Macaca fascicularis: one gene and its partner. The protein of the gene in region 2 interacts with the protein of the main gene of each other region in a pairwise test. Links are inferred from orthologs where the notes say so. Each region holds a gene or a part of one and is shown on either strand. Other genes may lie near its edges. The genes, in order: PRC1 and TRIM37.

Evidence for each region.
Region 1: the proteins of TRIM37 (region 2) and PRC1 interact in binary tests that used the Homo sapiens proteins (3 or more experiments, as listed by UniProt). The link is inferred for Macaca fascicularis from reciprocal best matches to the Homo sapiens genes TRIM37 and PRC1.

The regions. Positions count from the first base shown.
Region 1 is NC_088381.1:75,541,842-75,557,937, reverse strand, and holds the start of PRC1 (protein regulator of cytokinesis 1), read left to right. Parts: upstream 1-9,130; 5' UTR 9,131-9,272; coding exon 9,273-9,283; intron 9,284-16,096. Other genes in the region: VPS33B (vacuolar protein sorting-associated protein 33B), read left to right, coding at 585-717, 1,600-1,673, 2,802-2,903, 3,419-3,494, 3,601-3,717, 4,355-4,434. UniProt on the Homo sapiens protein: Key regulator of cytokinesis that cross-links antiparrallel microtubules at an average distance of 35 nM. Essential for controlling the spatiotemporal formation of the midzone and successful cytokinesis.
Region 2 is NC_088390.1:47,646,816-47,662,343, forward strand, and holds part of TRIM37 (E3 ubiquitin-protein ligase TRIM37), read left to right. Parts: intron 1-1,389; coding exon 1,390-1,569; intron 1,570-6,577; coding exon 6,578-6,692; intron 6,693-8,201; coding exon 8,202-8,417; intron 8,418-9,762; coding exon 9,763-9,899; intron 9,900-15,259; coding exon 15,260-15,342; intron 15,343-15,528. UniProt on the Homo sapiens protein: E3 ubiquitin-protein ligase required to prevent centriole reduplication. Probably acts by ubiquitinating positive regulators of centriole reduplication.

The DNA of each region.
Region 1 (16,096 bases), on a different chromosome or scaffold from region 2:
TTCAGCTTTCCTTCCTGGCACTTCTCAAGTCTTACTTCATCCAGGAAGCCTTTCCCATACATCCATAGGTCTCTAAAGTCTCATGCTGCTTTTTATTCTTCTTCGTTTGGTGTTTAATTATTTCTTTTTTTTTTTTTTTTGAGACGATGTCTCGCTCTGTCACCCAAGCTGGAGTGCAGTGGCGCAATCTCGGCTCACTGCAACCTTTGCCTGCCAGATTCAAGCAGTTCTCTGCCTCAGCCTCCTGAGGAGCTGAGACTACAGGCACGAGCCACCATGCCCAGCTAATTTTTGTGCTTTTAGTAGAGACAGGGTTTCACCATGTTGGCCAGGCTGGTCTCAAACTCCTGACCTCAAGTGATCTGCCTGCCCTGGCCTCCCAAAGTGCTGGGATTACAGGCATGAGCCACCGCTCCCAGCCCTGTTTGGTTATTTCTAATGTGAAAATTTATCTCAACAAAGTGTGAGCTCCTTCACACTGCAGCAGAGGCTACATAGTCCTTCTCTCTCTCACCTCTGTAGTGCCTGACAGTGCTAGATGCTCTTCAGACACTCAGTAAATAGTCTAATTGCATCTTCTTCAGAGCTATGGCCCTGAACACCTGCTAACCTTCTCCAATCTGAGACGAGCTGGGCTCCTAACAGAGCAGGCCCCTGGGGACACCCTCACAGCCGTGGAGAGTAAAGTGAGCAAGCTGGTGACCGACAAGGCTGCAGGTAAGCAGGGAGCACAGGTGACCCCTACTCCAGCTGTTGTCCTGACTTCTCTCAACAGGCAGCACGCTGGGAGGGACAGAATGAATTGGAGAAGGGGGACTGATTCCTTCCTATTAATGTCATTACCATTATTACTACTACGTCTGCCAGTAAGAGTGGTTTCCACATAGTGAACACTTACCATGTGCTGAGCCCTTTAGTTTCTCATTGAATCCTCACAAAGACTCTGTGAGGTAAATTTTCTCATCCTCATTTTATGGATGATGAAACTGAGGCTTAGAGAATTAAGTGATATGGCCGGGCGCGGTGGCTCACGCCTGTAATCCCAGCACTTTGGGAGGCCGAGGCGGGCGGATCACAAGGTCAGGAGATCGAGACCACGGTGAAACCCTGTCTCTACTAAAAATACAAAAAATTAGCCGGGTGCGGTGGCGGGCGCCTATAGTCCCAGCTACTCGGGAGGCTGAGGCAGGAGAATGGCCTGAACCCAGGAGACGGAGCTTGCAGTGAGCCGAGATCGTGCCACTGCACTCCAGCCTGGGGGACAGAGCGAGACTCTGTCTCAAAAAAAAAAAAAAAAAAAGAGAATTAAGTGACTTGTCCCAGGTCCCTTAGTTAGTAAGTTAGGTCAGTTTAACTCCAAAGCACATACCAATAAACTTGGGTTACCCTGTGGATTGCATTTAGTAGAGACCTGGTACCCTGTAGGAGGGGGAAGACTGTGGGTGGGGAGAAGGGTGGGAGTTCCAGGGAATTGTAGTTGAACAGCTTCCGAGAGTTTTTGGATGTGATTGGTGCTGTCGTGTCCTGAATGGTGTTGTCCGTGGCAGTGTCATGAATCCACAGACCTTAGGTGAAACCTGACACAGATTTCTTCCCCAGGAAAGATTACTGATGCTTTCAGTTCTCTGGCCAAGAGGAGCAATTTTCGTGCCATCAGCAAAAAGCTGAATTTGGTATGTGGAACAGGGATGGTTAGGGGAGACAGTGGGTTCATTCCATTGTGGGGTACTTTTTTTTTTTTTTTTTTTGAGATGGAGTCTTGCTCTGTTGCCCAGGCTGGAGTGCAGTGGCACAATCTCAGCTCACTGCAACCTCTGCCTCCCAGGTTCAAGTAATTCTCCTGCCTCAGCCTCCCAAGGGATTACAGGCATATGCCACCACACCCGGCTAATTTTTGTATTTTTAGTAGAGACAGGGTTTCACCATGTTGGCCAACTTCTGACCTCAGAAGTTCTGGTCTCGAACTTCTGATCTCAGGTGATCCACCCACCTCAGCCTCCCAAAGTGCTAGGATTACAGGCATGAGCCACTGCGCCTGGCCCATTGTGGAGTACTTTGAATCCACAAAAACCTTTTTGTCATTTCATGTGTATAAAGATTCTTTTGTTTGGTAGTCTTATAGCATGGTAGATTCATTCATTTAATCAACATGTAACAAGCACCTGCCGATGCCAGAGAATATTCTAAGTGCTGCTTCAGTGACAACCATATCCCATGTCCCTTAAGGACAGGGAAAGGAGAACCTGTCTCTCCAGCCCCTTCACATTATCCAATAATGGTGCATGGGAACTCATTCCAGAGAGCTGGCAGTTACTGAACAGAAACTGCTATCTTCTGTTATGGATTCTCTTTTCAGGGCTATTGCTGGTTCTCCCTTTTGTTGAAATAAGAATTGTTCTTTGGGCTGTGCCACTTTATCTGACCCTTTAAAGGGTTAGGGAGCTGAGCTGTCACTTGCCTAATGAAGTCCCTTTGTCTTTTTTTTTTTTTTTTTTTTTTTTGAGATGGAGTCTCCCACAGTTGCCCAGGCTGGAGTGCGGTGGCGCCATCTCGGCTCACTGCAAGCTCCGCCTCCCGGGTTCACGCCATTCTCCTGCCTCAGCCTCACAAGTAGCTGGGACTACAGGCGCCTGCAGCCACGCCCTGCTAATTTTTTGCATTTTTAGTAGAGACGGGGTTTCACCGTGGTAGCCAGGATGGTCTCGATCTCCTGACCTTGTGATCCACCCGCCTCAGCCTCCCAAAGTGCTGGGATTACAGGCGTGAGCCACCGCGCCCGGCCAAGTCCCTTTGTCTTATAGATCCCACGTGTGGACGGCGAGTATGATCTGAAAGTGCCCCGAGACATGGCTTACGTCTTCAGTGGTGCTTATGTGCCCTTGAGCTGCCGAATCATTGAGCAGGTAAGAGCATATTACTCTTGCTCCCATTCATATTTCATTGTCTCTGCTTTCTCTTGGTCCCTAACTTGTCTTGACTTTTTTTTTTTTTCTTTGAGAGATGGAGTCTCGCTCTGTCACCCAGGCTGGAGTGCAGTGGGGTGATCTCAGCTCACTGCAGCCTCCGCCTCCTGGATGTAAGTGATTCTCCTGCCTCAGCTTCCCAAGTAGCTGGGACTACAGGCATGTGCCACTGCACCCAGCTAATTTTTGTATTTTTAGTAGAGATGGGGTTTCATATAGACGAGGCCAACTATATGTTGGCCAGGCTGGTCTCGGACTCCTGACCTCAGGTGATCGCCCCGCCTCAAACTCCTAAAGTGTTGGGATTACAGGTGTGAGCCACCACACCTGGCCCTGTCTCAACTTTTTGCTACTTGAGTAATGAGCAAGAAATGTGACAGTCTGGCTGCTGTGCGCTTCCTTTCCTAAGCCTGATATTGTCTGTAGCCTTAAAAACAGTGCTTATACCTTCCCAGGTGCTAGAGCGGCGAAGTTGGCAGGGCCTTGATGAGGTGGTACGGCTGCTCAACTGCAGTGACTTTGCATTTACAGGTATGTGGCATCAACAGTGGGGTAGGCTGGCAGTGAGAGGTGGGCTGGATGCACCACTCAGGACTAGCATGTCAGGGAAGAGCTGAATCTGGCCTGATCCTCACAGACATGACTAAGGAAGACAAGGCTTCCAGTGAGTCCCTGCGCCTCATCTTAGTGGTGTTCTTGGGTGGTTGCACATTCTCTGAGATCTCAGCCCTCCGGTTCCTGGGCAGAGAGAAAGGTAAGAGAGATCAGAAAGGTGAGAATTGGCCTGCATTGTATATGGGCAACAAAGTGTTGGCTGGGCGCAGTGGCTCATGCCTGTAATCTCAACACTCTGGGAGGCCGAGGCAGGCAGATCACCTGAGGTTAGGAGTTCGAGACTAGCCTGACTGACATGGTGAAACCCCATCTCTATTAAAAATACAAAAATTAGCAAGGCATGGTGGTGGGTGCCTGTAATCCTAGCTACTCAGGAGGCTGAGGTAGGAGAATTGCTTGAACCTGGGAGGTGGAGGGTACAATGAGCCGAGATGGCGCCATTGCACTCCAGCCTGGACAACAAGAGCAAAACTCCGTCTCAAGAAAAAAGAAAAAAAAAAAAAAAAAAAAACCCACGCAAAGTGTCCTGCATAGGAATAGTTTTCTCCTGGCCTCGGAGTACAACTTGCCATAGCCTTACTGTGGGCTGCTATAGCAGGGAGCCCAGTTATACCAGGCGTAGAAAGCAGTGGTGCCCAAGGGTATGGCACTCAACGTCTCTGTCTATAAACTGGTGCTCTGATCCCATGGGGACTGTGGAAATGGAGGGGCTCTATGGTTATCGTTGGGGCCTAAGATCTGCGCTGTCTCTTCTGCTGCTGCATTTGACTCCTTAGGCTACAGGTTCATTTTCCTGACAACAGCAGTCACAAACAGTGCTCGTCTTATGGAGGCTATGAGTGAGGTGAAAGCCTGATGTTTTTCCCGGCCAGTATTGTCATCTTCCCTGAACACATTCCTCAGTGGGAGGCAGGCATCTGGCACCCAGCTGTTATAACCAAGTGTCTACCAACTACCTGCTACGAGCCGGGAGCATGGAACGGGTTGGGATTTAGAGAACATATCTGAGAAGAGAGTTCACTTCCTGCTCCCAGGATATTTCTCTTTTCTGTTTATGAAGTACAACCCATGCTGCTAAGATACAAGCAGGAAGAGGTATCCTTTGTTAAATCCTGTTTGAATATCATTGTAAATAAAGCCTCTGCTCTCAGATGTAATATGTTTGTTGTTCTGTACACGCACTTCCATCTTTATTAGTGAAAGCCCACTGGAGCTTTCTACAGGGGCTTCCTATGCTTCTTGGCCTGGACTTTATAGTGGCCTGATCTGGTTCTTCCCTGTAAAAGTCACTCGACCATTCTGTACCTGAGTTTCCTCAACCATAAAATGAGGGGGATGGATGAGGTGACCAGCAAGCACGTTTCCAATTCTAAAATGTTGTGATTCATTACATTTTTGAGAAAATGACTTTGTTGTTTTAACTTAAGGAGGCACTTCAATTTTAAGCATTTTGTTTCTTACTGCAGAATGAAAGATTGTGTGCCATTAGAGCCATTTCAGGCATCAGCAAACGGTGCTCCTATAAATGTACCAGCACCCTCCTCATTGCTGATGCTAGTAGCCTTTCTCCTTCTCTCTTTACCTTTCAAAAATGATGAAATATAGGCCAGGTGCTGTGGCTCATGCCTGTAATCACTGTACTTTTGGAGGCCAAGGCAAGAGGAAAGCTTGAACCCCGGAGTTTGAGACCAGCCTGGATAACATGGCAAGACCCCATCTCTACAAAAAATAAAGAAATTAGCTGAGGGTGGTGGCACACGCCTGTATTCCTAGCTACTGGGGAGGCTGAGGTGGGAGGATCCCTTGAGCCCAGGAGGTTGAGGCTGCAGTAAACTGTGACCCTCTCTCAAAAAAAAGAAAAAAGAAGGAATTACAACCACCTGTGTTAGTGGCCAGTTTTCAGGCCTCTTCCAACTTGATCCCGCTGATGACTACACTTTCCTTGAAATTGTCGTATTCAGCTTCCATAATACCCTTTCTTTGTCCTCCCACAATCTCTTAGGTTGTTCTTTGATCCCATTTGCTGACACCTCCCCTCTCTCTGTCCTTTGTTGTCATCCACTTCCAGATCTCAAGCTTTCATCTCACTCCACACAAGTATGTCCTACCTGGTCATTCCACAGGCACTTCAAACTCAGCATGTACAAAATAAACTCATGAGTGGAAGCTCTTGTCCCTACTTGAATCCTTTAATCTGCTCTTCTTCCTGTATTCCCAAACTTTGTTCAAATGAGCAAAAAGTTGTATTCTTGGCCTCAGATTTTTTCTTTCTATGCCCCACCTTTAGCTGGTTCCCTTGTCCTATTGGTTCTTATTTCTAAATGCCTCTAGTTCATCTTCTCCTCACCATCCCTATGATAGAGGTCTTTATTGTCTCTTGCCTGGGTTTTTGTAAGAGTGTCCCTCCCAGCTGCTCATCCTCCCATCTGTTCCCCATTCCACAGTGCTGCCACTTACTAAGAGGAAGAAAGAAAATCAAAACCTGAGTTACTAGATCATCAAAAGTATTCTTCCTATAGAATAAGGATCATTCTGGGCCCGGCGCAGTGGCTCACACCTGTAATCCTAGCACTTTGGGAGGCCGAGGCAGGCAGATCACTTGAGGTCAGGAGTTCAAGACCAGCCTGGCCAACGGTGAAACTCTGTCTCTACTAAAATATAAAAATTAGCTGGCTGTGGAGGTGCGCACCTGTAGTCCCAGCTACTCGGGAGGCTGAGGCGGGAGAATCACTTGAACCCAGGAGGCAGAGGTTGCAGTGAGCCGAGATCGTGCCACTGGACTCCAGCCTGGGCAAAAGAGCAAGACTGTCTCAATAAGTAAATAAGTAAATAAAAATAATGATAATTCTTTTTTTTTTTTTTTTTTTTTTTTGAGACGGAGTCTCGCTGTGTCTCCTAGGCTGGAGTGCAGTGGCGTGATCTCGGCTCACTGCAAGCTCCGCCTCCCGGGTTCACGCCATTCTCCCGCCTCAGCCTCCCAAGTAGCTGAGACTACAGGCGCCCGCCACCACGCCCGGCTAGTTTTTTTTTGTATTTTTAGTAGGGACGGGGTTTCACCATGTTAGCCAGGATAGTCTCGATCTCCTGACCTCGTGATCCACCCGCCTCGGCCTCCCAAAGTGCTGGGATTACAGGCTTGAGCCACCGCACCCGGCCAGATAATTCTGTATAAGAATACATTCCAAGGAAAAGGCATTCCTCAAGCATCTAGCTAGAATTTTGAGTGTTATTTCAAGCTAGTGTGCAAGACCAAAGACACTGCCAACAGGGCTGTTGTTCGCAGAAAGAATAGGTGGCATCAGAAAAAGATTAAACAGTGGCAAAACATTGCCCTTCCATCAAGTAGAAATATATGACCCTGTAATAGGGGTTTTTTTTATTTGTTTGATTTTTGAGAAAGGGTCTTGCTTTGTCATCCAGGCTGGAGTACAGTGGCATGATCATGCCTCACTGCAGCCTTGACCTCCTGGGCTCAAGTGATCCTCCCACCTCAGCCTCCCAAGTAGCTGGGACTAGAGGCTCATACTACCACATCTGGCTAATTTTTGTATTTTTTATAGAGACAGGGTTTTGCCACACTGCCCAGGCTAAGGTCATATATTATAAACACCTATTACACAGTGTTTTACATGCAGCGTTTATGCTCTGAATGGATATCTTTGCGTCAGTTCTGTGACTTTGTTAGCCTCAGCACCTCAGTGTAAAGGACGAGAGAAAAATTGTCTTATCTCTGGATACTTAATAATGCTGGCCCTAAGAACATGTATGAAGATCACAAATTTGTGAAGCTTTCTGAAAAGCTCTCCTGTTAATTTAACCAACAAAGAATGCAAGTAAATTTTAAAAGTGGTGCTGCCATCCACTCTATTAGTGGTGTCAATGTTAATCAACAGAGTGCAAGGAAATTGAAAAAGTGGTGCCTGTCCTCCACTGAGTTTGTGCTGTGAATATCTGGCATGCTGCTGATAGGTTAAAAAGAACATTGAAGCCAGGCGCGGTGGCTCACGCCTGTAATCCCAGCACTGGGAGGCCGAGGCCGGCGGATCACCTGAGGTCAGGAGTTCAAGACCAGCCTGGCCAACATGGCAAAACCCCATCTCTACTGAAAATACAAAAAAATTATCCAGGCATGGTGGTGCGTGCCTGTAGTCCCAGCTACTTGGGAAGCTGAGGCACAAGAACCGGGTGGCGGACGTGCAGTGAGCCGAGATTGGGCCACTGCACTTCAGCCTGGGTGACAGAGCAAGACTCCATCGCAATTTAAAAAAATAAGAAGAACATTGAAAGCAGCAATGAAGTTTTTCTGAAAATAAGAAAAATATGGTTCTGAAGGTGAAGCAAACAAGCATCCTTTACCTTTAGGGAAAAGGCATATGAACGTAAGTTACAGTTGGCCAGTAAACACGAAAAATGTGCAATTTCAGTTATAATCAAGTGCCAAACAAGGAAATGCCAGTATTATTATTTTACCTACAAAATGAGCAAAGATGTTTAAAAGTATGATAGAATTCAGCCCTGCTGAGGGTAACAAAAGGAGGGTACTTTTCCGGTGAGGCTTTGTGCAGAAGGCAAATTAATAAAGGGAGCATTCAGTAATTACACCTCTAGGAATCAGCCATACGAAAATGCAGGATGCAAAGATTTATGTATGAAGATATTCAGTCCAGCCTTATATTTTGAATTATCTAAATATCAATAGCAGAATGGGCGAGATAGCTACACACCAGGATATTATGCCACCATGAATCACTGGGAAAAAAAATGTGATATATAAGCATTTAGGGATGTAACATGTTCATCGAGGAAAGGAGGCTACAAAAGTACTATGATGTTTATTTTGAGTTTTAAATTTTTCATGTAACAATTTAGAAACTAATTTGAAAGAAAACCACACCTAGGTGATCTGCATTTATTCACCAATCAGGTGAGTTGGGCAAATCATTCAAATCTTTTTGAGTTTCCTCTGCAATGGTGACAATACTTGCCATAACAGGATTGTGGAGGTTAAATAGGATAACTAGCGTTGAAAGGTTCCAGGCCCATGAGCAGGGCTCAATGTTCCTTCCCTTCCCCTTAGTGTACGGCTTCCTACATCTGGGGAGAAGTCCCACCAAAGATCGGTTCCAACGTTCGCTTCTTGGATGAGCAAGGGAAACTAGGCTCTAACTTTCCTATTCCTCCCCGCTCCCGGTCCCGGCAGCCGGGACTCAGGGAAGCCGGAAAGCCGCGGTGCTCTCAACTCCTTCCCCGCCCGCGCACTTCGAAGACAAACTGCGCCGGGCGGGGCGGGGCGGGGCGGTGCTCCGATGACGTAGCCGACTCGGGAGGGGAGTCCCTTGAGGCTGCAGCCAATCGAGGGAAGTGGGAGGTGCAGGCCACGCCCGCCCACTCACAGACAGTGACGTCATCCCCCGCCCCGCTCCAGCGCTTCCCGGGCCCCGCTCACGAGTCCCCGCCCCGACTGCGCACCCGCGAGCTGCAACCCGAGGGGCGGGGATTTTCGTGGAGCGACGGGACGCGACGCCAATCGCAGCGAGGCTTCGCCCCGCGGCGCGGTTTGAAATTTTGCGGGGCTCAACGGCTCACGGAGCGGCTACCCGGAGTGAGATCGCCGGTGTTTGCGGGTGGTTGTTGCTCTCGTGGCGGTGTTGAGTAGGTCTAGAGCTGGACTGACGGCTGCTTGGAGCGTCTGCCATGAGGAGAAGGTGCGGGTTGCGGGGAAATCGAGGGGACGCGGGAGAGAGCGACGCCCGTCTCGGGTTCAGGGGTTCAGGGGTGCGGGGCCCGTGCGGGGTCCCGGGACTAGGGCGTCACAGCAGTCGGCGCTGAGTGAGGCCGGGGGCGCGAAGAGGCAGGGTCTGGAGGCGGCGAGCCAGTGCGAGGGCCGCGACGGAGGTGAGACCTGACGCGCTGTCCCCCGGCGGCCGCGGGTGTCCGCAGGCTCAGACGCCCGGGTGGGAGCCGAGCGCCGGTGCCCGGACGCGGCAGGGCAAGCGAGGCCGGGGGCCCGGGTCGGCCTCCACCCTGGCGGTCAGCGCTGGCGCTCGGACCCCACCCTCCCCGCCCTCGGCGTCTCAGGTGCCGCTTCTTGGCGCAGATGACTCGTAAACCTTCTGTGGTCCTGGCTTCTCTTTAAAGCTGTTAAGTTTATTTATCATTGTTTTGTTTTATTCTTTGTTTTTGTGGAAACGCGGTCTCCCTATGTTGGCCAGGCTGGTCTCGAACTCCTGGCTTCAGGTGATCCTGCCACCTCGGCCTCCCAAAGTGTTGGGATTACAGGCGTGAGCCACCGCGCCCGGCCCGTTGTTTTTCTTTATATCTGGCCAGCGGTGTTAACGTTTTGTTTGAATTGGAAAGATAGCTTTGTTTCTTTGCAAGTTAAGAAACGGATTATGGAATTCTTTTCCGGTCGTTTTAATAACTTCCTAGGCAGTGTTGGGGAGGGACTGACCGACTTGAAATCCGGACCAGTGACACTGACACTTACCAGCCTTGTGCCTTCCAAATATTAACTTTAATTTCTGAAAGTTGTAGATGAATTATTGTGATGATACAGCGTTAATTTGTAGTTTTTGGTGAAACTGATTGTTCTAAGGCTTTGTAAGATTCTTCATTTCATGATCACTGATTCTGATCTGTCTTTTTCAAATGCTTGCCCTCAGAATAATGAGAATTGAGTGCCAACATGGTGAAACCCCGTCTTAACTGAAAATACAAAAATTAGCCGGGCGTGGTGGTGCGCCTGTAGCCCCAGCTTCTCAGGAGGCTGAGGCAGGAGAATCGCTTGAGCCTGGGAGGCAGAGGTTGCATGAGCCGACATCTCGACACTGCATTCCAGCCTGGGTGGCAGAGTGAGACTGTCTCAAAAAAAAAAGTCCATTAACAGTTTATGAATTATTTAGGCATCTCCTCTATCAAGGGATTGAATGAAGCAGGAGAAAAAATTACCCTTTAGTGTTGGTTCCAGGCTAATGGATATAATTTGACTTTTTTTTTTTTTTTTTGAGACAGGGTCTCACTCTGTCACCCAGGCTGGAGTGCAGTGGCGAGATTCCTCACTGCAGCTTTGACCTCTGAGGCTCAAACAAAACTCTGGCCAGAATTAATTATGGTTATCGGTCCCCGAAACAGGTTGCACAGGAGATCAACAAAGCTCCTTCTCTGGAGTGCTAAGAAAAAATAGGGCAGTGGATCAGTGAAGGCTGCCTGAAGGTAGGAAATAATTTAGAGGACCACTTTGAGATTTCTTCCAGTCCAGTGATTTATGTTCAAGACTGAAAAAACTGACTCATTCTACAACCTTTGTGTCCTTGAGTGGTAGTCTTTGTATGCACTCTGAGTTTTTCAGTGAGTCTAAAAAAAATCTCAGACTTGCTCCTTTTAGGGGATTACCTGAAACAATTTAGCCAGGTAGTATTTCAGTGTATCATGACAATTGTTCATAATGATTGCTCTGAAGCATCTTAAGAACATACAACTTTTTTGAAATGTCACATTATTCATTCAAAAAGACTTCTTGGGCCTGGCACAGTGGCTCACACCTGTAATCCCAGCACTTTAGGAGGCCAAGGTGGGAGGATGACTTGGGCCCAGGAGTTCAAGACCAGCCTGGGGCAACATAGCAAGACCCTGTCTCTAAAAAATAATAATAATCTATACTAAAAAAGAAAAGAAAAATAATTCTTGAATGTTATATACAAGGAACCATTCCAAGTGGTGGGGATATAGCAGTGAGCAAAAGTGACATCCCTGTCCTCACAGAGTTTGTATTCTAATAGCAAAACAGGAGTGTAATAAATAAGTTAATCTTAAATGGTGATAAGTGCTATGTAGAGAAATCAAGCAGAGAAAGGGGATAAGAAGTACTGAAGGTGTAGGAAGTGGGGTTGTGGTTTTAAAGAGATGGGTCAGGAAAGGCCTCCCTGAGAAGGTGATCTCTGAGCAAAGACCTAAGGAGGAAAAGGGTGAAGCCATGCAGCATGGGGGAAAAGAGATCTAGGTAATCAGCATATCCAAGTGCCCTAAGCGGGGATAGTGCCTGGTATGTTCCAGAAAGAGCAAGGAGGTCTCTGTGACAGGAATAGAATGAGCACTGAGGTCAAAAGAAATGGCTTTCAGATGGAATGGGCCTTCATAGGGCTTTGCAAAGCCAGAGGCTTTTCCTTGGAGTGAGATGGCAAGTCATTGGAGGGTTCTGAGTAGAAGATTAGGACTTGGGGCTCCTGTGTTGACAATAGACTTAAGGAGGCCAGCATTGAAGCAGGGAGACCAGTTAAGAAGCCATTGCCATACAGCAAAAAGTTAGTGGCAGTGACCTGGACGAGGGTGGGGGTGGTAGTGGTAGCAGCAGAGGTCAGGAGGAATGAGATTCTGCCTGTCTTGTGTAGATAATGCTAATGGCGGGAATATAAGAAAGAAGTGTCAAGGATGATACAAGATTTAAGTTTTAAAAAAAAAAAATTGGCCGGGCGCGGTGGCTCAAGCCTGTAATCCCAGCACTTTGGGAGGCCGAGACGGGCGGATCACGAGGTCAGGAGATCGAGACCATCCTGGCTAACACCGTGAAACCCCGTCTCTACTAAAAATACAAAAAAACTAGCCGGGCGAGGTGGCGGGCGCCTGTAGTCCCAGCTACTCCGGAGGCTGAGGCAGGAGAATGGCCTAAACCCGGGAGGCGGAGCTTGCAGTGAGCTGAGATCCGGCCACTGCACTCCAGCCCGGGCTACAGAGCAAGACTCCGTCTCAAAAAAAAAAAAAAAAATTAAGTTCAGTACAATTTGAATGTTAGGAAGAGTGAGAAATGTTAGTTTTTAATTCTTTGAAAATGATCCTCTTACAGGAACTGTCTCTAACTAGAATAATAATAATGGGTGTTTGGAATTACCAAACACCCATTTCCAACAGGCCAAATAAAATGTGTTATATATTAGTAAAGTTTTCTTTCTTTCTTTCTTTCTTTTTTTTTTTAAGACAGTCTTGCTCTGTCGCCCAGGCTGGAGTGCAATGGCACGATCTCAGCTTACTGCAACCTCTGCCTCCTGGGTTCACCGGGTTCAAGTGATTCTCCTGCCTCAGCCTCCTGAGTATCTGAGATTACAGGCACCCACCACAACACCCGGCTAATTTTTATGTTTTTAGTAGAGATGGGGTTTCACATGTTGGCCAGGCTGATCTCTAGCTCCTGATCTCAGGTGATCAGCCTGCCTTGGCCTCCCAAAGTGCTGGGATTACACAACGTGAGCCACCACGCCCAGCCATAGTAAAAATCTGTAAGTTTTTCAATTAAGTCACAAATCAAAAAAATTTCAGATTATGTGCCGAGATGTTTTTAATAACAGCTTTGAGATATAATCCACATACCATACAATGTACTTAAAGTGTATAATTCAGTGATTTTCAGAATATTCAGAGTTGTGTAATCATCACTGCAATCAATTTTAGAACATTTTTATCACCCCTTTAAAATCCCATTAGCGGTCAATCCCCTTTCACTCCATGGTCCAAATTCTCCCCACCCCCAACTACAAATCTACTTTTTGGCTAGGCAAGGTGGTGCACACCTATAATTGCAGCACTTTGGGAGCCCAAGGTGGGAGGACTAATTGAGCCCAGGAGTTCAAGAACAGCTTGGGGGAGACTGCCTCTACAAAAAAAAAAATTTTTTTTTTTTTTTTTTTTGAGATGGAGTCTCACTCTGTCACCCAGGCTGGAGTACAGTGACGCGATCTCGGCTCACTGCAACCTCTTCCCCCTGGATTCAAGCGATTCTCCTGCCTCAGCCTCCCGAGTAGCTAGGATTACAGGTGCCCACCACCACACCCAGCTAATTTTTGTATTTTTAGTAGAGATGGGGTTTCACCATATTGGCCAGGCTGGTGTCAAACTCCTGACTTCGTGATCCACCGGTCTTGGCCTCCCAAAGTGCTGGAATTACAGGCGTAAGCCACCGTGCCTGGCCTAAAAGAAATTTTTTTTTGTTTAAGTTAGCTGGGTGTGGTGGCTCACATCTGCAGTCCCAGCTACTCTGGAAGCTGAGGTGGGAGAATCACCTGAGCCTAGAAGGTTGAGGCTGCAGTGAGCCATGATCATGTTACTGCACTCCAGCCTAGGTGAAAGATGTCTCAAAAAAAACATACAAACCTCAAATCTACTTTTTACCTATTCTGGATATATCATATAAACGGAACCATAGCTGTTGTGGTCTTTTGTGACTTGCTTCTTTGACTTGGCATAATATTTTCAAGGTTTATTGCCAAATAATATTCCATTGTATGGCTATATACTACATTTTATTTACCCATTCATAAATTGATGGCCTTTTGTTTTGTTTTGTTTTGACTTTTTGGCTATTGTAAGTAATGCTGCTATAAACATTTGTGTAGTTTTCGTATAAATGTGTTTTCATTTATTTTTGGTAAATACCCAGTAATAAAATTGCTGGGTTGTATGAACTCCATTAAACTGAGGGGCTGGGTGCAATGGCTCATGTCTGTAATCCCAACACTTTGGGAGGCTAATGTGGGAGGATTGCTTGGGCCCAGAAGTTCAAGACCAGCCTGAGCAACATGGCAAATCTTTAAAAAAAAAAAAAAAAAAAACGAAAATTAACCAACCATGATAGCACGTCTGTGGTCCCAGCTACTTGGGAGACTACGGCGGGAGAATTGCTTGAGCCAGGGACCTTGAAGCTGCAGTGAGCTATGATCACACCACTGCACTCCAGCCCAGGTGACAGTGAGGCCCTGTCTCAAAAAACAAAAAAACAACTGAGGAACTACCAGACTGTTTTCCAAAGAGGCTGCACTGTCTTGCATTCCCACGAGCAGTGTTTGAGGGTTCTAGTTTCTCTAGATTCTCACCAATACTTGTTGCTATATATATTTTTTTTTATTATAGCCATCCTGTTGGCTGTGAAGTGGTTTTGATTTGCATTTCCCTAATGACTAACATTGAGCATCTTTTTATGTGCTTATTGGCCATTTGTATATCTTCTTTGGAGAAATGTCTATTCAGATTCTCTGCCTATTGTGCTAGATTTTTTTATTCAGGAAAATGATCACTTTACCTTGTAGATATGTTACAGAGATAGGCAGCCCTGCTTGTAAACCTTCATCAGGATCCTAGAATACATAATACCTCTATTAGGTTAGGTAGGTTAGGAGCATAGGACCCTTTGGCAGGAATTCAGGGCCATTCATTTTACATCTATTGAACAACTACTATGCGTTAGGGTGTGGTAAAATGAAGATGAATAAGACGTGGTGGTCCTTGCCCTTGAGTTTATGGTCTACTAGGGGCCTGGGGGGAAAATGGCAAGTGAGTGACAAGTCCACAGGTCTCCAGAGGAGGTGGTGGCAGATAGAAGGAACTGAACGTACAAAGCACGGTGGCATCAGAAAATGAGGGCTGCATGTGGTTTATTGAGGGGCACTGTTCAGGGAATGCCCAGGAAGTTCAGTTGGCTGGAAACTTGGGGAGTGACAAGTGGCAGAGATTAGCAAACTCGGAGAGAGGTTTAGAAGGCCTTTCCACGGAAGGTGGTTGAACTATTTACTGAGGGCAATGGGACCTTTGAAGGGGAGTAGTTAAGCAGGGAGCTGATGGGATTTGTTGTTATGAACAACTAGCTGTTCTGTGGAGATTGGCTGGGCAGGGGTAGGTCTGTCAGATTGAGGAGACTGGTATACTTAAGTAATGACCTTCAGAACAGTGCCCCCGGCTGGCCTGTCTGGAAGCCAGGGTTTTGCATCCAGATCGAATATTGGCCACAGATTGGATCTTAAAAGTTATTTTTAACAAAATGCTAGTATTAGGATTTTTACTTGTGCATTCTTGTGTCTTCAAAATGAAGTGCAAAAGGAGTGTTTGCCGGGGGAAGCTCTTTAGTTGGACTTTAGTTGAGATTATGTTAAATAAATGCCTTACTGTTAACATTTCTTTTTTTCTTTTTCTGTTGGACTTGAACCGTTAACATTTCTAAAGTGAAGGGAGTACAGTAAATTCTTTTAAACATTTGTCAGTATTTGGGTCTTGGTATGGCCATCTGGTATAGGCAACAGGTACTTGTGTAGAAATGTTTCTTCAACAAGAACAGGCAACCTCTAAACTGGGATTTCGTGGCTGGAGATATTTTGGATGTGAATGTATTAACAGCTTTGGAGAGACACATTGTTAGAGATCTAGGCTGGTGACTTGTAGAACCATCGAAAGCTCTGAGACAGAAAGGGGCTAATGAAAGTCTCTAGCTCCAATTGGGTGTGGACGGCACACAAACAGCTAAGTGTTTAAGTGATTTGCTGCAGGCTTCTCAGCTGACTGGAAGCAGAGAACATCTAGATTGCAGTTTCTCTGGTGCCAGGGCAGTCTTAGTTGTCCTGTTATATCTAAGAAAAGGGAGAAAAATTTCTATTCTTTAAATGTTCTGTAAATCAGACTAATGGTTCTAATTTTTAAAGTAAACTTTTCTTAAAAGATACAGAAGCCAGTTAAATTTGTATTTTAGATAAATAATTTTTTGT
Region 2 (15,528 bases):
CTGATAGTTATCTTTTCTGTTCCTCTCCCTTTTTCCACCCTCTACCCTCAAGTATACCCCAGTGTCTGTTGTTTCCTTCTTTGTGTTCATAAGTTCTCATCATTTAGCTCCCACTGTGTAAGTGAGAACATGTGGTATTTGGTTTTCTGTTCCTGCATTAGTTTGCTAAGGATAATAGCCTCCAGCTCCATCCTTCCATGTTGCACAAAAAACATGATCTCGTTCTTTTTTATGGCTGCATACTTATTTTCTATTAGGAAATTTTATAGCCTTTGATTTTCTGAATACACAATAATTTACTTTGCTATAACTTGTGCTGGAAAAATACAGTAGAGTATTTCAAAATTTGTATTTTAAAATTGCAAGGTGATAAACCTCAAAGGATAATAGAAATAACAGAATATTTATGTATGAGGAAACATGTAGTGAATATAAGGAAAAAATATTGCATTAATAAAACAAAAGCAACTTTGAATTACTTCTTTATTCAAAATTTATTTATGTTTTGAGGTGTTGTTTTATACCTAATATATTGGTAAACATCTTTATGAGGAAAAAAGGACCTAGTACCATTCATGTTTTGGTGGTTCATTCAAAATACTGCTGTTTTGGCCGGGTGCAGTGGCTCACGCCTGTAATCCCAGCACTTTGAGAGGCCAAGGAGGGTGGATCATCTGAGGTCAGGAGTTTGAGACCAGCCTGGCCAACATTACGAAACCATGTCTCTACTAAAAATACAAAAAATTAGCTGAGTGTGGTGGCGTGCGCCTGTAATCTCAACTACTTGGGAGGCTGAGGCAGGAGAATCACTTGAACCAGGGGGCAGAGGTTGCAGTGAGCTGAGACCCTGCCACTGCCCTCTAGCCTGGGCGACAGTGAGACTCCATCTCAAAAATAAATAAATAAATAAATAAATAAATAAATAAAAACTGCTCTTTTTCTGATTGGGCGTGGTGGCTCACACCTGTAATCCCAGCACACTGGGAGGCCAAGGTGGGTGGATCACCTGAGGTCAGGAGTTCAAGACCAGCCTGGCCAACATGAACCACCGTCTCTACTAAAAATACAAAATTAGCCAAGCATGATACACACCTGTAATCCCAGCTACTCTGGAGGCCGAGACAGGAGAATCACTTGAACCTGGAGCCAGAGGATGCAGTGAGCTGAAATCGCACCACTGTACTCCAGCCTGGGCAACAAGAGTGAAACTCCATCTCAAAAAAAAAGCCCAAAATACTGCTGTTTTTATAAATGATAAAAGAAATGTAATTGCATATATCAATAAGGTTTCCTCTCAGGTGATTACTTAGTGACCTTAATGTTTAGATGAGTTTGTCTTTTATTCTTATTTTACTAACTGTATAGTAATGGTCTGTTTTTCAATTTTAGATATGAATATCGTGTAGAGATGGTTCACCAGTCCTGTAATGATCCTACAAAAAATATCATTCGAGAATTTGCATCTGACTTTGAAGTTGGAGAATGCTGGGGCTATAATAGATTTTTCCGTTTGGACTTACTTGCAAATGAAGGATACTTGAATCCACAAAATGATACCGTGATTTTAAGGTAATAGGAAAAATTTAATGTTGTGGTTTTTATTGTGGGGAAATAATATCATTGGAACTGTATTTCAAAGATCATTTGGTTAACAAAGATGAATATTGAAATTCATACTAACTATAACCTTATCACTTTCTTAACTGTTTTATTTAAGTGGATAATAATCAAAAATTTGTAGTCAAAAAGTCAAACTTTTTTTTTGACATCTAGTTAGTAATTTCATTAAAGATATGCCGGGTGCGGTGGTGCGCTGGTGTTTCCATCTACTCTGGAGGCCGAGATGGAAGGATAGATTGGGCCCAGGAGTTTGAGACCAGCTTAGGAAACATAATGAGACCCCCATCTCTTTAAAAAGAAAAAAAAAATGTGTGTAGGGAGGAAACTACAACTTCCAGTAAATATAGTAATGTTCCATTTATCTGTTGAACTTCTAGTGACCTCACCGTTTGGAAATCTAAGAATAGTGAGAGATAAAGTGTTGATTTTTTTCACTTCACAGTGCATTTTATATTTGAGTGACTGGTTTTACAACTTAATTTTATAAAGCAGCTATCAGTTCTTTGTGAATAACAGAAAATTAAAAGAAGAATCAAGATGAAAGTTGATGAAAATGAGCAATTTTCTACTTTTTTCTTAAACTTTTATTTTAGGTTCAGGGATACTTATGTAGGTTTGTTATACAGGTAAACTCACATCGTGGTGATTTGCTGTACAGATTACTTCATCACCCAGATACTAAGCCTAGTACCCAGTAGTTATTTTTTCTGATCCTCTCCCTTCCATCCTCAAGTAGGCCCCAGTGTCTATTGTCTCCCCTCTTTATATCCCTGAGTTCTCATCATTTAGCGCCTTTTTTTTTTTTTTGAGATGGAGTCTCCCTCTGTCTCCCAGGCTGGAGTGCAGTGGCGCAATCTCGGCTCACTGCAAGCTCCGCCTCCCGGGTTCACGCCATTCTTCTGCCTCAGCCTCCTGAGTAGCTGAGACTACAGGTGCCCGCCACTGCATCCGGCTAATTTTGTTTTTGTATTTTTAGTAGAGACGGGGTTTCACCGTGTTAGCCAGGATGGTCTCAATCTCCTGACCTCTTGAGCCACCCGCCTCGGCCTCCCAAAGTGCTGGGATTACAGTCCTGAGCCACCGTGCCTGGCCCATTTAGCTCTTAAATAATAAGTGAGAACATGTGGTATTTGGGAAAACCATCAATTTTTTTTTTTTTTTTTGAGACAGTTTTTCTCTAGTTGCCCAGGTTGGAATGGAGTGCAGTGGTACGATCTTGGCTCCCTGCAGCATTCGCCTCCCAGGTTCAGGCGATTCTCCTGCCTCGGCCTCCTGAGTAGCTGGGATTGCAGGCATGGGCCACCACGCCCGGCTAATTTTGTACTTTTATTAGAGACGGGGTTTCTCCCTATTGGTCAGGCTGGTCTCGAACTCCCGACCTCAGGTGATCCACCCACCTCGGTCTCCCAAAGTGCTCTGATAACAGACGTGAGCCACCACGTCCAGCCAAAACCATCAATTTTTTATTGTTGATTGTTGGTTTAGTATTTACAAGAAAGGACAGAATATAAATACTGACTATAAAACAACAGCCCTATTTAGCCAGGCATGGTGGCTCACGCCTGTAATCCCAGCACTTTGGGAGGCTGAGGTAGGTAGATCACCTGGGGTCAGGAGTTTGAGACCAGCCTGGCCAATATGGTGAAATCCTATCTTTACTAAAAATACAAAAATTAGCCAGCCTGTGGTGGCACGCACCTGTAACCCCAGCTACTCAGGATGCCGAGGCAGGAGAATCGCTTGAACCTGGCAGGTGGAGGTTGCAGTGAACCGAGATTATGCCACTGTACCCCAGCCTGGGCGACATAGCAAGACCCCATCTCAAAAAAAATAATAATAAAGTAAATAAAAACAACAGCCCTGTTTAACGTGGGGTAGTCTTTACACAGGTCAGAAGTTTTTGGGCATCAGCTGGGCGCCGTGGCTCATACCTGTAATCCCAGCACTTTGGGAGGCTGAAGTGGGTGGATCACCTGAGGTCAGGAGTTCAAGACCAGCCTGGGCAACATGGTGAAACCCTGTCTCTACTAAAAATACAAAAATTATTTGGGCGTGGTGGTGGGCGCTTGTAATCCCAGCTACTTGGGAAGCTGAGGCAGTTGAATCGCTTGAGCCCAGAAGGCAGATGTTGCAGTGACCCGAGATTTCACTAGTGCACTGCAGCCTGGACAACAAGAGTGAAACTCTGTCTTAAAAAAACAAAAAACAAACAAAAAAAGATGTTTGGGTATCATTACATGATGTTATAATTTGATGATTAAAATGAGAACTTGAATATTTAAAAAAGAGATTAAAATACGTTCGTAACTGAGAAGTTTCAGAGTATTTAGCAGTTTAAGAAGTTCTCATCACAATTTGAAACTTTTTTTTTCTTGAGAGTGATTTAATGTACTCCTAAATTTCCCTTATTCAGAGCTCTTTGTTCTTGAGCATACTGGACAGATCATATCAGCATTTACTCTTAGGTGTTTTCCATAGCTTTTCTGGAAGTGTAAAGAAGTTTAACAAGGGATATGATTTTCAGTGTAGGGAAAAAGATTCATGTTTTTGTTATTGTTTTGTTTTGTTTTGTTTAGAGGCAGTGTCTTGCTATATTGCCCAGTCTAGTCTAGAATTCTTGGGCTCAAGTGATCCTCCTGCCTCAACTTCCCAAGTAGGTGGGATTACAGGTGCATGCCACTGTGCCTGGAATCATGTTTTTTGAAGGGAGGGATTATTTTAGTTATCTTCATATAGCTTTTCAGACTTTTGGGGTTTAATGTTCGCCAAGAGAAGTAATTTATTGCTTTTCATGCTTCAGCCATAGAGAGAATTACAAAATTATTCAACTATCAATTTTACCAACCTACAAAAGACCCATTTTCTTATAGTCTTAGTTTCATCCTTATTACTGTTATATATTAGTACAGAAACAAATTCTTGTTAGGACATCATTTTTTTAAAGCAACATTGAGTCTGTACCATATGCCTGACACTGAGTTGCTAATAAGAAAAATATAGACATGGTTTTTGTCCACAGGGAACTCAAGATGAAATTGGCAGATAAAAAAAGAGTTTACTACACTCTTATTATAAAATAATGCTATAGTAGCACCATAAGTAAATTGCTATGAAATTCGTGGATAGGGAGCTTCTCATTATCGTATTATATTTATTTATTTAATGAAACATTGCTCAAACTTTAAACCTCATTTAGTTCAAGATTCTGGTGGAACTTTATTAGAAAGTTATTTAAGGCTTTTCTGTAACTATGAATATATATTTCATTCTTTCATTAAAACAGAAAGTTAAGAAAATTTACCTGCTGCTTGGTTTTGTTTTAATGGCAAAATATTATAATGCTCAGGGTTAACCACTGGTTTAAGTCATTCAAAGAAAATAATAGTGTTCAGACGATCTTACTTTAATGTCTTACCAATGGGTGCTTCCTAGACTGTGAATCATCTCTGCTCAGTTCAGTTCAGAACATACTTTAATCTGTTTATTTTATTTTATTTTTATTTTGTATTATATTATATTATATTAGAGACGGAGTTTCGCTCTGTTGCCCAGGCTAGAGTGCAGTGACATGATCTCGGCTCACTGCAACCTTTGCCTCCCAGATTCAAGTGATTCTCCTGCCTCAGCCTCCTGAGTAGCTGGGATTACAGGCGCCCACCACCATACCCAGCTAATTTTTGTACTTTTAATGGAGATGGGGTTTCACCATGTTGGCGAGACTGGTCTTGAACTCCTGACCACAGGTGATCTGCCCGCCTCGGCCTCCCAGAGTGCTAGGATTACAGGCGTGAGCCACTGTGCCCAGCCAATCTCTTTTTTTAAAAAAAAATACTCAAGTTCTCATTTTGATAATCCAAATATAGCATATAATGATGCCCAAAAACTTCTGACCTATCAAGACTACCCCAACATTAAATAGGACTGTTGTTTTATAGTTGGTGTTTATGTTCTGTCCTTTCTTGCATGAGTATTCTTGACTGAAACTAGGTATATACTGCCAGATAACTGTTAAATGGTCAGTAGGTTCTTACGCTAAGGTGTAAAATCCTAGAAAAAAATGGACAGCTAACATTGTGTAACTGGGTAAAAGGCTGGAAGGAATGAAAGAGAGGTAGATATCCAAATTAATCTTGCCTTGTGGTGTTTCCTTTCTTCAAAAACACCTTCACACATGCACTGCAATTTTTTCACTATAAATATAGTTACGTTAGGCTATGTAACAAAGGTAGAGGTTTGCTTTAGTAAGTATTAGTTTTTTTAAAAATTAAAACAACTGGATAGATTAAGTTTCTGTCATTTATATATTAATATGATTTTATGTAGATGCAGTACTTTTTTTTCCTAATCTAAGCTGAAATAATGCCATATTGTAATAAGGGCAATTTTGATTGCTATCTTGAAGGGTTCGGGATATAGTTTATTTAGAGCATGTAACTCTTTGGGGGACAGTAAAGCAATCCTGGGTGGTTGACCCAGTAAATGATTTTTTTCTGAGGGGCAGGAAATATGGGAATGTGAGATGGAATAGAGAAATATAAAGAGCAGCATTTAAAACTTTGTATTTTGCTAGGGCCTGATTTAGGGAAGAAAGGGATAAGAGTTATCTTTCTCCTTATAGGAGGGAACTGCATGGTATATGGCTCTCTTCTTCCCAACTCATGATCATCATCATATTTTAGTTGCATTATTATAATATGCCTTAGTAGGTTAGTTTGGGGAGCTTAACTACAATGTACAATGTACTTTAGAAAGGTAGTTTGAGGACAACTGGATTTTCAGAATCTTGTGTCATAATCTGTGGATTACGTCTATAAACAACAAATACTAGCAGCTCTAAGTTTACGTGAATTTTGGCCTTATAATCAAGTTAACCAAAATTACAGAATTCAAAGCTAGACTCATAATATTTTACCATTTGAATTTTTTTTTTTTTTTAATGTGGCACGATTCTTTTAAGGTTTCAGGTACGTTCACCAACTTTCTTTCAAAAATCCCGGGACCAGCATTGGTACATTACTCAGTTGGAAGCTGCACAGACTAGTTATATCCAACAAATAAACAACCTTAAAGAGGTAAGGAAATATATATTTCTGGTTTAGTGTTTCCTATTGTCCTTTTGGCTTGTTATATTTGTAATTAGATTTAATATATTTATTGCTATTTGTAATTTTGTAGTTTATAATTGGAAAAAAAATCTAGTTATCCTGTTCCCCATCCTTACTGGTTCTGCAGTGTCCAGTTTAGTAACCACTAGTCACATATGGCTATGTAAATTTTTGTTTTACTTTATTTATTTTTTATTTTGGAGACAGGGTCACACTCACTCTCGTTGCCAGGAACAGTTTCCACTAACTGCAGCTTCAGCTTCCCAAGCTTGGGTGGTCCTCCCACCTTAGCCTCCCAGGTAGCTCTGACTTTGAGCAGGTGTCATGGCTAGTTTTTGTATTTTTTATGGAGACAGGGGCTTCTCCATATTGCCCAAGCTGGTCTTGAACTCCTGGGCTCAAGCACTCTGCCTGCCTTGGCCTCCTAAAGTGCTGAGGTTACAGGTGTGAGCCACTGTGCCTGGTCTGTAAATTTAACTTGATTAAAATTAAAAATTTAATTCCTTAGTTGCAGTAGCCACATTTCAAGTGCTTGCATTGGGTACTGCAAATCTAGAGCATTTCCGTCATTGCATAAAGTTGTTTTGAACAGTGTGGCTGTAGTTTGAGGTAAGCTCTTTGTGTTTCTGTCAGTGACTTAGTTTCTCTTCCACAAGTTATCTTGGATTTAGAGGATTCTAGGCTATAGCACAATTAAAAGTTGTCCCATCTTGAACTCTTAACTATTATTGAATGAGCACTAGAGAAGATTAATTGATGAATTTTTATTTTACAATGATAAACTGAGGAATGTTTCATTTCCCTTAGGAACTTAGGATGTGGCGGAAGGTTTGGAGTGCTGAGAATCGTTAATAGGTCAGGGAGGAAAATATGAATAAATACATGCTTTCAGAGATTTTCATGTTAAATGTACTATTTAAAACTACCTGTATTCACTTACTGTTTGCTATTTGTATGTTTAGCTTAGGCTGGATATGAAAGAAGGAAGATGAGCATATATGGGGCAGTTTATCTTTGTCATCAATTTTTTTCATAAATAAAAGGCAGTAGGGATTCAGAGAAATAGTTTAAGAAATGGTGCCAAGTGAGGTGGCTCACTCCTGTAATCCCAGCATGTTGGGAGGCCGAGACCAGAAGATCATTTGAGCCCAGGAGTTCAAAACCAGCCTGAGCAACGTAGCAAGATAAATAAAAAATGAAATTAGCTAAGCATGGTGGCACATGCCTCCAGTCCCAGCCACTTGAGAGGCTGAGGCAGTAGGATCTCTTGAGCCCAGTAGTTCAAGGCTTGCAGTGAGCTGTGATGGCACCACTGCACTTCAGCCTGGGCAACAGAGTGAGACAGTTCTCAAAAAATAAATAAGGAAAGAAAGAAATGGTTTTAGGAGCGTCTGGATGCATTTTTTTTTAGCTAGAAACATCTTTTACTGTGCCAGTGAGCTATGGCTAATATTTGTGCTTTTCTTGTTTTAAAAGAGACTTACTATTGAGCTATCTCGAACTCAGAAGTCAAGAGATTTGTCACCACCAGATAACCATCTTAGCCCCCAAAATGATGATGTTCCGGAGACACGAGCTAAGAAGTCTGCGTGCTCTGACATGCTTCTTGAGGGTGGTCCTACTACAGCTTCTATAAGAGAGGCCAAAGAGGATGAAGAAGAGGAGGAGAAGATTCAGAATGAAGATTATCATGTAATAATGAGGCCAGTTTTAGATTTTTGTGTTTGATAAAAGAAACAGTAGAATCATGGCTTTTAACGTATTATGCGCTGAAACAGTAGGCTAAAAATATTGTCCATTGATTTCCATTAGTAATGTATATATGCCCTTATGTAAATGTTAATAAGTCAGAAGTTGTTGAATCAAAGCATTTCAAGATTCTGAAATAATACATTCTATAAAACAAACTGTGATGTACATTTTAAAAACTAAACTACCATAAATTGTGGATTTTAAAAGTGTGTTCTGGCCGGGTGCGGTGGCTCACACTGTAATCCCAGCACTTTGGGAGGCCAAGGTGGGCAGATCACATGAGGTCAGGAGTTCGAGACCACCCTGGCCAACATGGTGAAACCCTGTCTCTACTAAAAATACAAAAATTAGCTGGGTGTGGTGATGCTTGCCTGTAATCCCAGCTACTTGGGAGGCTGAGGTAGGAGAATCACTTGAACCTGGGAGGTGGAGGTTGCTGTGCGCCAAGATTGTGCCACTGCACTCCAGCCTGGGAGACAGAGCAAGACTCCATCTCAAAGAAAAAGAAAAAAAACCAGGTGTTCTATTTTCATTCACTGAAACTAGTACATACCTTGTCATTACTTATGTAGGTAGAATGATTTAGGATTTAGTAGATAACCAGGCTCTATCCCAGCTAAACAACAGCCAGAATCCAGAATAAGAATTTAAGAAGTAGATATTTTTACATAAGAAGGGATGCCTAGATAGTTGTTTTTTTTTGTAGTAATTTTTAAGATGAGATACTTCAGTTTTAAGTTACGTTGAAGGACCCAGTGGGTCGAGAGAATGCACAGATTAAGTGCTTTGATAAACTAGAGATAATAGGGTTTGGAATGGAGCAGTCAGGTAAAGCAGTTAGTCTTTGACAAACTGAGTTAAAGGAAGGGTGGAGTTTGCAGGTAAGGCAGCTGAAAGTTGGGGAAGTTTTTGCTTAATAGTGGGTATTTTTTTTCTGTGCAGATAGGTGACAGTGTTAATTAATGACCTTGATAATGGTAAAATTAGGTAGAACTGAGGAGTGATGGTTTGAAACATAGCTCTGTGAGGAAGCTGATGTGGAATATGTGAAGGATTCCAGTCACACTGAGGGCCCAGCTGAAGGCGGCACGCATAAGTTAGTAAAATGATGTCACTGTGGTTGTGTGATTTTTCTCCACAGGGCTCAGCAGCTGAGGCACAGAAGCAGAAAATAGCTTTTTGATAACTATATTATTCTTTGGTGCTTGGTTTATGGGGTGGATGGGGTGATCAACTGAGTAGAAACATTTGGAATAGATGTCTTGTTTTCTTGGCATTGATCTAGCACGAGCTTTCAGATGGAGATCTGGATCTGGATCTTGTTTATGAGGATGAAGTAAATCAGCTAGATGGCAGCAGTTCCTCTGCTAGTTCCACAGCAACAAGTAATACAGAAGAAAATGATATTGATGAAGAAACTATGTGAGTGTCCCACTTTACTACTGTAAAGCATTTAAGTGGTAATTATTAGAAGCATATTAACTAACTCACCCTTAAAAGTAGGGACATTCAGCACTTTTTTGAAAGGTTGAATCAATAGCCAGTTTTCTCCCTCTAATCTCTGGGCTCTTAGCCAATAATTTTTGTTTTTGTTTTACCTTTTAAATTTGAATTTTGAAATTATTTTATGCCTAAGAAAAGTTCAGAATTCCATATTTCCTTCACACAGATTCATTCACTATTAATATTTTGCTTTATATTTCTCTAATTTTTTTCTGAAACACTTGAGATTGAATATACTTCTCATTGTCTACTTTTCTAAAAACAAGGATATTCTTACATAACTATAGAATAGTTATCAAGATCTGGAAATTAACATTGATGTAATACTGTAACCTTCTAAAAATTTGCCAGTAATGTCCTTTGTCAGGATCACATTGCATTTAGTTGTTAAATCGATTTAGTTATCTTCCATCTGGGTTACTTTTTTAGAAATTTGTTTTTCGGCTGGGCGCGGTGGCTCACACCTGTAATCCCAGCACTTTGGGAGACCAAGGCAGGTGGATCACGAGGTCAGGAGATCGAGACCATCCTGGCTAACACGGTGAAACCCCGTCTCTACTAAAAATACAAAAAGAAATTAGCCGGGCGTGGTGGCGGGTGCCTGTAGTCCCAGCTACTTGGGAGGCTGAGGCAGGAGAATGGCATGAACTCAGGAGGCGGAGCTTGCAGTGAGCCAAGATCGCACCACTACACTCCAGCATGGGCAACAGAGCGAGACTGTCTCAAAAAAAAAAAAAAATTGTTTTTTATGACTAATACTTTTTGAGAAATACAGAATAGTTTATTTTGTAGAAAGTCCCTCAATTTGGATTAGTCTGAAGTTTCCTCATGATTAGATAGAGATTACACAGTTTTGGCAGGGATACTACGGAAATGATAATGTATCCTTTTCATTGCATCATGTGGGAGTGGAGCATGATGTCAATATGTCCCATTACTTGTTAATTTTGATCACTTGGTTGAGGTAGCATCCGCCAGATTTCTGCACTCCAAAATTACTACTTTTTCCTTTATAATTAATAAGTATCTTGTGTATGGGACTGTAAATATCATATTTTTCTTCCTACTTTTTCCTGTGAATTTTGACACCCCTTGATGAGTGTTGCTTGAAAAAGGTTACTGTGTTGATTGCCAAGTGGTGTTTTTCTAATTCCATTATTTCTTATTCATTAGTTGCAATTTAAGGAAGAGCTTTCCCTTCTGCCCTATTGATGAACTAATTAATGAATATCATTAATGTGGATAAATTTTTTTTCTTGAGATGGAGTCTTGCTCTGTCACCCAGGCTGGCATGCAGTGTCACGATCTTGGCTCACTGCAACCTCCACCTCCTGGGTTCAGGTGATCCTTCCACCTCAGCCTCCCGAGTAGCAAGGATTACGGGCACATACCACCACGCCTGGCTATTTTTTTTTGTATTTTTAGTGGAGATGGGGTTTCACCACGTTGGCCAGGCTGGTCTTGAACTCCTGACTTCAGGTGATCTTCCCACCTCAGCCTTCCAAAGTGCTGGGATTACAGGTGTGAGCCACTGCGCCTGGTGATTTTTGGATTTTTAAACCAAGCTTGCCTTCCTGGGACACATCCCACTTGGTCATAGTGTGTAATTTTTTTTTTTTTTTTTTTTTTTGAGACAGAGTCTCACACTGTCACCCAGGCTGAAGTGCAATGGCATGATCTCGGTTCACTGCAACCTCCGCCTCCCAGGTTCAAGCGATTCTCCTGTCTCAGCCTCCTGAGTAGCTGGGATTATAGGCACCCACCACTACGCCTGGCTAATTTTTTGTATTTTTAGTAGAGATGAGGTTTCACTATGTTGGTCAGGCTGGTCTCAAACACCTGACCTCGTGATCCACCGTCTCGTCCTCCCAGAGTGCTGGAATTACAAGTGTGATCCACCTTGCCTGGCCATCCTTTTTTTTTTTCTTTTTTTAATTTGAGACGGTGTCTCTCTCTGTCACCCAGGCTGGAGTGCAGTGGCGCGATACCCACTCTCTGCAAGCTCCGCCTCCCGATTCACACCATTCTCCTGCCACAGCCTCCCGAGTAGTTGGGACTACAGGCTCCCACCACCTGGCCTGGCTAAGCTTTTTTTGTATTTTTAATAGAGATGGGGTTTCACCGTGTTAGCCAGGATGGTCTCGATCTTCTGACCTCGTGATCCGCCTGCCTTGGCCTGGGAGCCATTACACCCAGAAATTTTTTTTTTTTCCAAAGAAAATCTTGCTTTGTGGCCGGGCTGGAGTACTGTGGCATGATTATAGCTCCCCGTAACTTTGAACTCTGGCCTCAAGTGATCCATCTGCTTCAGCCTTCCTAGTAGCTAGGACTACTGGTGTGCATCATCACGCTTGGCTCATGATTCTTTTTATATGTTGCTGGATTCTGTTTGCTAGTACAGTTGTCCCTCAGTATCCTTGTGGTATTGGTTCTAGGACCCCTCCTTGGATACTAAAATCTGAGGATGCTCAAGTCTCTTATATAAAATGGCAGAGTAGTTGCATATAACCTATACACATCCTCCCCTATACTTTAAATCATTTCTAGATTACTTATAATACCTAATACAATGTAAATGCTATGTTGTTATGCTCTATAGTATACAGAATAATGACAAGGGGAAAAAGTCTGTGCATGGCTTTATTTTGTTTTGTTTTATTTATTTTTTTTGAGATGGAGTTTCGCTCTTGTCGCCCAGGCTGGAACGCAATGGCACAATCTCAGCTCACTGCAGCCTCCACCTCCCGGGTTCAAGCGGTTTTCCTGCCTCAGTCTGCTGAGTAGCTGGGATTATACACACCTGCCACCATGCCTGACTAATTTTTTGTATTTTTAGTAGAGACAGGGTTTTGCCATGTTGGCCAAGCTGGTTTCAAACTCCTGGTCTCAGGTGATCCACCTGCCTCGGCCTCCCAAAGTGCTGGGATTACAGGCGTGAGCCCCTGCACCCGGCCAACTTTATTTTTTGAGACAGGGTCTTGGCCTGTCACCCAAGCTGGAGTGCAGTGGTGTTGTGATCACAGCTCACTGCAACCTCGACCTCCTGGGCTCAAGTGATCCTCCCACCTTGGTTTTCCAAGTAGCTAGGACTACAGGTGCTTGCCAACACACCTGGCTAATTTTTAAATTTTTTGTAGAGATGGGGTCTCACTATGGCCTTACTATGTTGTTCTAGGCTGGCCCCGAACTCCTAGGCTCAAGCAGTCCTCCAGCCTCGGCTTCCCCAAGTGCTGAGATTACAGGCATGAACCACCGCACCAGGCCTTAAAAAATATTTTTGATCCACAGTTGGTTGAATGTGCAGATGCAGAGCCCACAGATATAGAAGGCCAACTGTATTTTGTTGATGCTGTTAATAGTGTTGTATGTTTCTCTGAGTGTTGTATGTGTCTCTGCTTCTCCCTGTAGGCAAAATCTCTGAGCCAAAGCTTTGAAGTTGCAGTGAGGATAAAAGTATACCTCCCTTACTTTAGAAGCTGAGTTAACTGGATGTTGGGGACAGTAGCCTTAGTTCTTTCCTTTTCAGGCTTGGGACCTCCACCTTATGAATAAGCTGGGACAGGGATGATCTGGGCCCCAGTATTCTCATCATGCTGCATCCAAGTAGAGCCTCTATTCCACAAGTGGGTCTCAGCAGAAGGGAGTCTCCATGTCTTGGCGGTGTGTGCCTGTACTATAGCATCAGCAATAGGTAGCTGGGGGCAGAATGAGAAATGGAGATATCTTGCCACTCCTAGGAATATAGCCCTCCTCTTGGAAGCTTGGGAAGTGGGAGGCCTATGTTCTTCATTGCACCAATCTGGAGTGGAATTTCTGTAACGCCAAGTTAGGAAGCGGAGTGGTCTTGGTTCAAATCCTGCGGATACCCACTTGTCTTACCCAGGTTTTATAGATTTTTTTAAGTAGATGTTTCTTCATTTGCTGTATACCCTTGGGACCATTTCCAGAGTCGTTAAGTGGTTGTTTTTAAAATAATTGTCACCAGTTTGACTAACGAGCAGATCTGCAGAGCTCCTTACATTGTCAAGCTGGATGCTTATCTTGAGATTTCCTTAAATATCCAAGACTATCATTGATTGGTACTGTTTCAAATAGTACTTTGTTGTTTAAAATAAAGTAATAGTGAGTGTTTTTTAATATGAGAGACTTTGTATGGCCTAGTCAGTACCCTCTTTTCTGAAATTTTATTTTTGGAAAAATAGTATTTAGTCATAAACAGTAATTTGGGCCTTTTTTTTTTGGATATTAAATTGTAATATTTTAAGCCTAATTTATTACCATTAAGCTACCAGTTCTCAGAAGCTGGAATTTCTTCTAACAGTGGTTCTTAGATTTATTAGTGTTTCATTTATTTCTTTTTTTTTTTTTTGCCTGACACAGTTCTTTTTGTTTTAATCTTCTTTTCCTTTCCTGTCTTGTCCTGTCCTGTCCTTCTTGAGACAGAGTCTCGCTCTGTTGCCCAGGCTGGAGTGCGGTAGTGCAATCTTGGGCTCACTGCAACCTCCACCTCCCAGGTTCAACCGATTCTCCTGCCTCAGGCTCCTGAGGAGCTGGGATTACAGGCACCCACCACAACACCCAGCTAATTTTTGTATTTTTAGGAGAGACAGGGTTTTGCCATGTTGGCCAGGCTGGTCTCGAAATCCTGACCTCAGGTGATCCGCCCACCTTAGCCTCCCAAAGTGCTGGGATTTCAGGTGTGAGCCACCGCGCCCGGCCTGATATATATATTTTTTAATTCCTTTTTTTTCTTAGCTTTGTAAGAAGAAATGGCTGATTTTTTTTTTTTTCTTTTTTTTTTTTGAGATGGAGTCTCGCTCTGTCCCCCAGGCTGGAGTGCAGTGGCGCAATCTTGGCTCACTGCAAGCTCTGCCTCCTGGGTTCACGCCATTCTCCTGATTCAGCCTCCTGAGTAGGTGGGACTACAGGTGTCCGCCACCAAGCCCAGCTAATTTTTAGTATTTTTAGCAGAGACGGGAATTTCACTGTGTTAGCCAGGATGGTCTCAATCTCCTGACCTTGTGATCCGCCCGCCTCAGCCTCCCAAAGTGCTGGGATTGTAGGCGTGAGCCACCGTGCCTGGCCGATATTTTTTGAAGGTTGTTTAAACAATAACATTACCACTACTTAAATTTGGATAGTGACAAAAAATCTTTCTTCTTTTTGTATTTAGAAATATCTTATTTCACAGAAAAATCTGCATATCATAAAATTTGTTGAGGTGTGAAAAATGTTTATTGTATCGCTCTATATGAATGATGGGTTTTGCATATTCTTAGGTCTGGAGAAAATGATGTGGAATATAACAACATGGAATTAGAAGAGGGAGAACTCATGGAAGATGCAGCTGCAGGACCTGCAGGTAATGAGGTCACCCACTGCCTCCAAGCCATTCTATTTTCTCCCTGCTCTTCTCTGACCGTATTATATTTTAAATAGGTGGTAGCCACTGCTTGTACATGGTTCATGGTGTTGGAAGTGCTACATCTTGTAATACGGATTTTTTAGAGTTCATTACTAAAGATACTTAATAATAATAGCTACCATT